2 linked regions of the Bombyx mori genome follow. The main gene of each other region encodes a partner of the protein of the gene in region 2 in a complex. Links are inferred from orthologs where the notes say so. Each region holds a gene or a part of one and is shown on either strand. Other genes may lie near its edges.

Evidence for each region. The genes of interacting proteins can lie anywhere in the genome.
Region 1: nuclear inhibitor of protein phosphatase 1 (region 2) and uncharacterized protein LOC778507 share a complex: the UniProt entries of both Homo sapiens proteins name them as parts of the spliceosome. The link is inferred for Bombyx mori from reciprocal best matches to the Homo sapiens genes PPP1R8 and C9orf78.

Annotation. Positions count from the first base shown.
Region 1 is NC_085120.1:2,479,760-2,483,945, forward strand, and holds the start of uncharacterized protein LOC778507, read right to left. Parts: upstream 2,807-4,186; coding exon 2,611-2,806; intron 119-2,610; coding exon 1-118. UniProt on the Homo sapiens protein: Plays a role in pre-mRNA splicing by promoting usage of the upstream 3'-splice site at alternative NAGNAG splice sites; these are sites featuring alternative acceptor motifs separated by only a few nucleotides. May also modulate exon inclusion events.
Region 2 is NC_085126.1:4,085,642-4,089,208, forward strand, and holds part of nuclear inhibitor of protein phosphatase 1, read left to right. Parts: intron 1-22; coding exon 23-106; intron 107-870; coding exon 871-1,081; intron 1,082-2,551; coding exon 2,552-2,654; intron 2,655-3,567. UniProt on the Homo sapiens protein: Inhibitor subunit of the major nuclear protein phosphatase-1 (PP-1). It has RNA-binding activity but does not cleave RNA and may target PP-1 to RNA-associated substrates. May also be involved in pre-mRNA splicing.

The sequences.
Region 1 (4,186 bases), on a different chromosome or scaffold from region 2:
CTCTGATTTGAAGAGACTCTCAAATGGTCTGGCAAGGAAAGTAAGGCTGCTTCCTCGGGAGACAAATACTTTAGTGTTTCTGTATGGTTGTGGTCTTTATTGTCTTTGTCACATCCCTCTGGAATTTACAAAGCACAAGTTAATTTTATATTAGTATCTAAACGATTATAAATAATACTATCAGCTATGTAGGGACCTAAATTTTTATTTTTTATTGCTTCGATGGGTGGACATGCTCACAGCCCACCTGGTGTTAAGTGGTTACTGGAGCCCATAGACATCCACAACATAAATGCGCCACCCAACTTGAGATATAAGTTCTAAGGTCTCAAGTATAGTTACAACAGCTGCCTCACCCTTCAAACCGAAACGCATTACTGCTTCACGGCAGAAATAGGCAGAGTGGTGGTACCTACCTGCGCGGACTCACAAGAGGTCCTACCACCAATAACAAACTATACAATCTATTTACCATTTCAAGTTTCCAATCAACATATCTTTGTGCATTTATTTACTGAGTAACCCAAGTTATGTGCATGTAACACACATTTTTTTTCATGGGTATGCTTCCAACTAATTATTTTGATGTGATATAAATATAAAGTATCAATAAGCTTTTTTTTTTTTTTTTTTATTGCTTTTATGGGTGGACGAGCTCACAGCCCACCTGGTGTTAAGTGGTTACTGGAGCCCATAGACATCTACAACGTAAATGCGCCACCCACCATGAGATATAAGTTCTAAGGTCTCAGTATAGTTACAACGGCTACCCCACCCTTCGAACCGAAACGCATTACTGCTTCACGGCGGAAATAGGCGGGGTGGTGGTACCTACCCGTGCGGACTCCCAAGAGGTCCTACCACCAGTGATTACGCAAATTATAATTTTGCGGGTTTGATTTTTATTACACGATGTTATTCCTTCACCGTGGAAGTCAATCGTGAACATTTCTTGAGTACGTATTTCATTAGAAAAATTGGTACCCGCCTGCGGGATTCGAACACCGGTGCATCGCTACACACGAATGCACCGGACGTCTTATCCTTTAGGCCACGACGACTTCAAAAGAAATTATTAATATCTGCAGTCAATAAAAACAGTATCACAGAGGTTAGCCCTCTTCACACTTATGCATAAAACCTGCTCCAAATATTGCACCCAAAGATACAAAACAACTAACTTATACTATCTTAATATCATACAACCTGTAAAAACAATAATTTTCATTTAAGCATACATGATATTTCTAAGAGGCATGTATGTCTAAACGTTGTTTAAGTTGGGATGTGGGTGTCTCTGTAGGGTATGTGCAATTCAATTGAGTGTATAATATACTTACTACAGTATTTACAATACAATATTTTTTACAGATTCGGACCAAATATAGAATCTTAGTGAGTGGTATTTTACATAATTGATACTAGATTTTCATTTAAGCAGCAATATTAACAAGTTTATTAAGTCTGTTTTTTTCTTCTTTTTTTTTTCTTCTTCCTATATAAACCATTCAAGATGCAATGAAACTTGGTATAGTTGTTATTGGTACTTTTGGGAGTGTTGTTATCATAATACCATGAGAATAGTTTAGCAAATAAGTGCTTATGCAGCTTAATGTAATATATGCTTAGGTGTTAGTAATATTAGTAATATCAAAATATACATATAATCCCATCTAGACACTGGTCACAACCACTACCTACAAAAAAAAAACAAATTTACATGAGTTCTAGGAAAACATGTAGATACTGTTTATTTAATGATCTTGTAATGGATCTATAAAATTAGTAATTGATTATGATGTGACAGAACCTCAAGGATGTGATATGGAAAATGCAAATACTATTTTATTGATTGATTTTAAATTTCAGTCTTGAAATAAAAAACCATTAAATTACAGTGGACCCCCTGTAATCCGACAAACGTTTTGTAAGGCAGTGTCAAACTACCTATTACATTTGTCGAATTATACAAGTACTGCCTAAGACCCCCTTTAGTCCAGATTTTTTTACAAAAGAGTACTTTATAATCCAATAAATTACAGATCCAGTAATAAGATTCTGTATGTTATATTCTGAAATGCAAATCATACTTCATTATGTATATTGAATTTAGTAAATTAAAAAATACAAGAGAAACCTTACGTTTTATTATAAAATTAACGTCAGTAATACTTTAAAACTTACAAAAAATACTTTACGAATGCCATGACGACTTTTGAAACTTTCTAGCCACCCCTTGCTGGCCATAAGCATCTTTTATTTTATTTAAGTACTTTAAAAAACTTAAGCTTTCATGGTCAAGATGGAGCCTGAAATGGGCGCATGCCTATTTGTTATCAGTAGTCGAATTCAAACTAACCTATCAAAACCAAAACAATACCTAAGCGTCTAGTACAATAGTGATGGCGCATACCAGTTGTAACCTGTTCAATCATGCATTATCTAAGTACATTAGCGAAGACTGTCAAAAAATATTCAATAATAATAGACATTTCGGATTACAAGGGGTGCCAGATTAGACAGCGGCAGGATTACCGGGGGTCCACTGTTTAAGCAAAATGTAAATTTTTATGTTTGGAAGCTCGTTAAATATTTTCAAGTAGAACTAACCTTTTCTTTTTGCAAGTTGTTCTTCGATGTACTTCATCATCTCCTCATCTTCGTCGCGTTTGTTCGTTTCCGCTGAAAATTGTGTGCCTATTCCGGTATCATACGCATCATCCACCTGCTTCAGTTTCCCGTTCTTAAGGGCTTGCATGTTAATCATCCCGCCAGTTTTAACTTTAAAAGGATCTTTACAAGTCATTTCATCTTCCAACGTTACTTTCTCGCCGGTTGCCAGGGCTATGATGCTCACCCCATTAGGTCTTTCTCGAAGTTTCTGAATTTCTTTTGTTTCTTGAAGTCTTTGCAAAATGTGCTCCTCATCATCAGAGTCTTCATCTTTGATACGCGTACGAAGATTTCTAGGCTTCTTAGATTTCAATTTAATTTCTTCGACTTGTCGATTTTCTTGAGAATCTGAATCTGCCATATTCATTATTTATGTTTGATCTTTTTACCATAGATAACTTATTTCCCTTTTTTAAAGAATGACTGCTTGCAATGTCATTGTTGCCAGTGTTGAGTTAATAAAAATCTCTAGATAAAATATACTTAAAATAAATTTTACTCTTTGAGAATAATGATTTGGAGAAGAATGAGATGAAATTTATTTATTTTATACTGTAATTATGATGAAATTAAATTAAATAAGATGCTTTAAAATATACTGTAGTCTCAGTAAAATTACAAAAATTTACTTAGATACATTCATTATATGAAAGGAAAAATTACATTTATTTATTGCATAGACGTCTGAACGAGCTCAAGGCCCAACTTCAATAAAGTGATTACCAGAGCTAGTACACATCTACAACGAGAGGTCACCTACCGCTAATTGTAGAATATAACAATTCGTTCATTTAACAAACCAGAACGTAGAACTACTTGGCGACCTAAATACTGAGATAGTGCCTATGAGGGCTCACATTAGGTAGTTATTTCATCCACTGCCAAGCTGTCATGCGTTCCAGTTTGAAGAGTAAGATGACCATTATACAACATAATTTAGATTTCTACCTCATGTCTCAAGGTATATCTCATAGCTTTCTCACTCTGATCTCTATTAGCTTTGATATCACTCAATACAAGGTACGCCATAAACTACTTTAAAGACCAATCAACAGTAATATACGTAGGATGTAATGAAACCCAAGGGAGTTGCTGGTCTCCAACCGTGCGCCTCCGTGAGAGGCGGATAATGGCAGCTTTTGGTCATCATTCCCAGAGATATGATCGCACCGATGCGGACCAAAACCAGCACGAAGTCGAGTAGGAGGGCCGTGCTCTCAATGCTCTTCATTTGATGAAGAGTGCTCCACTTAGAGAGTGAGCCTCCCGATGGCACCGATGGTTTGCCGGCGTACCGTGTGCAGTGGTACTCTGTGTTACTTGTGTTAGTAGTGAGCCGGTGCTACTTTTGCATCTTCCTGTCGCTAGTTGTTATGTTCCCGACTTCAACTACATAGTAACGCCCTCCAAAGGGAGGTACCGGTTTGCCAGCGTGGCTTCGAGATTGCTCGTTAGAGTATCGGGCCGTGATCAGCCGTGCTGCTCTTTGTACTCGGCGGGTTGCCGGCCAACC
Region 2 (3,567 bases):
ATTTTTGTACAATGACTTACAGAACTTAACTGAATTCAACACAGCCCACAACAGAAGAATATCGATGCTTGGTATATCAACCGAAGATGGAACTGATGTTATCAAGGTGAATAGTATATTCTTGTAAAAAAGTGTATTTAACATTTTAATGTATATATTGCTGTAAATATGAAGATCGACTAGTGAGTCTTTCCATACATGGTTCCCAAAGTATTTTGTGGTTACCAAAATGATTGAGATGAAGTCCCAATTGTGTTCTGTAACAGTTGTTGCCACTTGAACGCATGATAGCTGTGCAGTGAAAATATAGTGGTGTCACCATCCACTATGTTCCTCTTAGTCCATGATACCCCCTTAGTATGATTAAAACAGTTCAGTAATTCAGACAAACATTTCTGTTATATATACCTAACCTATTATATAAGTAACTAGCAGTACCCGTCCACTTCGCTGGGAATTTAAAATTAATATTATTATTTCTCACCCCCACAAAGATTCTCATCATTAACGCCCCCGCAACTGGTGTAGGGAGTCCAACACTCATATAAATATTAGCCTATCCATTAAGTACATGTATTTTCTACGTGGATACCAAGTTTCAAGTTAATCGGATGCATGGTTCAGTAGTTATAACGGAACATCCGTAAAAACCACTGTAGATTTATATATTAGTATAGATACGACCTCTTAAATTTATCGAGAACATTCTGGGCAAGTCGAGTAGCTTCGATGTGTTTCCGGTATCTGACAATGATGGCGTTGTACTTCTCGATCTTTCTCGGCGTTACTAGTTCCTTTGATATACGTTTCGGCTATCCGGACGATAGATGGCGTTACTCTTACCGGCGTAACATTACTATCGTTTTTCAGCCGACAACCGGTACGAAGCGTACCGTTTCGATGCCGGTCGGTGTGCCGAAGAAGCAGAAAAGAAACGTGTCTTTCAACGAAGAAGTGGACATTATCAATCCCGAAGACATAGATCCGTCCATAGGCCGTTTCAGGAACTTGGTCAAGTCGACGATCGTGCCGAATGCGAACGCCGTACCTAAGAAGCTGAAGCTGCAGAGCGCCGAGGAAAGTAAGTCGTTCAAGTTATGGACTAGCTTGTCCTATACTATAATATTATAAAGAGGAAAAATTTGTTTGTTTGTTTGTCTTGAATAGGCTCCGAAACTACTGAACCGATTTGAAAAAATCTTTCACCGTTTGAAAGCTACACTATTCCCAAGTGACATAGGCTATAATCTTTTTTGAAAAAAATTTAGGTATCCTCACTAAAACCCCAATAATGTAATCCAAGGTGTAAAAAAAATACCTAAAATATTCTTTATATCGCGTGCTCTGCGAAAACTATTGATGATAGAATAAAAAAAATGTACTACGACTTTGTAGAACATATTATTATTTATAAAAAGTGTCGCGACAGCATATTATGTCTAACTATTATAATTATGCCGCAATAAGTGTTCTTTTATCTTAACAAAATGAAGCTTCAAATATCGTTGAAATTTTTGTTAAAGACCCGAGCGGAGCCGGAGCGGCCCGCCAGTCCTATATATACGTTAACACACTGACTGGCTGGTTGTCACCGGATAGTTGTCATACGATTCAATTGAGACCTCATGTCTTAAGGTGACAATATTCAGATTACGTCTATGAACTCTGGTCTCCCTTTAACATTTTGATTGCGATGTAGGTCACCGGTGCCCTACGCGGCGTACTGAAGTAATTATGTCGATTTCTATTAGTAAGCGCATCTGGATTGCCTAACTTTGCCTTCTTTTGTTTTTCTGGCCGTCTGGTGTAGTGGTACGTGACATGGTCACTACACAAGGGGGTCGCGGGTTCGAATCCCGCCAAGGGAAGATTTTTGTATGATAAATATAAAATGTATTTTCCTATGGATGTATATTAAAAAATATATATGTATAATAAAAATCTTACATTTATTTCCGTTATCTGGTACCTGTAACACAAGTTCTATATGAACTTAGTACGGGACCAGTGAACGTGGCGTGATTGTTTATAAAAAAAAAGTATGGTTTACTCTTTTAGGTCTCTAGAAATATATTCAGTCTCAGTATCTTAGGATTCGTCTTTGCCAGATTCTAACTAGATATTCCGGCGTCTTAGTAAGAAGATCGAAGAGAGAAATCGACATAATTACTACTTCAGTGCGCCGCGTAGGGCACCGGTGACCTACATCGCAATCAAAATGTTAAAGGAAGACCGGAGCCCATAGACGTAATCTGAATGTTGTCACCTTAAGACATGAGGTCTTAATTGTATCGTATAAGGACTTTCACGCCAGATGTACTGTTAAAAGTGAGACCTTAGAACTTATATCTCGAGGTGGGTGGCGGCGTTTACGTTGTAGATGTCTATGGAGTCCGGTAACCACTTAACACCAGGTGGGCCGTGAGCTTGTCCAACCATCTAAGCAATAAAAAAAGGATGGAGGAGGATGGAGCCACTAGAGGGCCAAAACTGAACTTAAATGGGCTCAGACAAAATGATTTTAATATTGACTTGTTAATATGTATTGCAGATCAACATCACCACTCGTTGAGGCTGCAGGAGATATCTCGGGGAGGGAATCTGTACTCGGATTTGCCCGCACCGAGCTCACATCTAAGTTTGATCGGGGCTAGGTATGTATTAATATTCATTATTGAGCAATGAGAAATTACCCCGATCTATTAACGGTGCTTTTAGGTACCACAAGCACCGGTCACCGTCCTCGCCGAACCTGTCGCATGCGACGAAGGGCTCGACGAGCGAATTAACCCATAGACACAGCCCACTGAGTTTCTCGCCGGATCTTCTCAGTGGGTCGCGTTTCCGATCCGGTGGTAGATTCTGCGAAGCACTGCTCTTACTGGGGCCAGTGTTAGCAACATTCCCGATTTGAGCCCCGTGAGCTCACCTACACACGTTTGGGTGAAGCTGAAATAGCCTATCAGCATAGGTAGGTTTTTTTTTTTTCGTTAATATTATATTGACATGATAAATTAGCTTGTATTCATAGATGCGATTTGTTAAAATAGTTTTGTAATTATAACCAAGAACATATTTGGTTTATAGTTTAATATTTAAACAACCGAATGTACTGCAATATTTATATATAATATGTATATATATATATTTCCATCCCAGAGCGCATGTTACGTCCTATATGGCGGTTTTTACCGATGATATTGCATCCGACCGACTTATTGCGTCCTGTATATGGACGCAAGATTGTCCATTTCTCAAATTCAGCCAGAGGTAGCCGAAAGATCCGTACAATGCGTGGGTAAAATATTGGCATGGACGTTATTTTGTCACCGGATTGATTCTCACCGTATTTCTTAGTTCCGCTGTTTGGCACGCGAATTTTGGAGGTCGCTTCTCCGCGGCGTATATCGGTAGCGTATATTGGATATTTTTTTTACGTAAATTTCACCGATAATGTGACTTCTGTATATAAAAAAATTTCAATTCAAGTTTTTATCAATTCCAATTTGTGGTTTAATTACGTCACACAAAATGACCCCGTTCCAAGAGAAACGCGGGAACAACAGG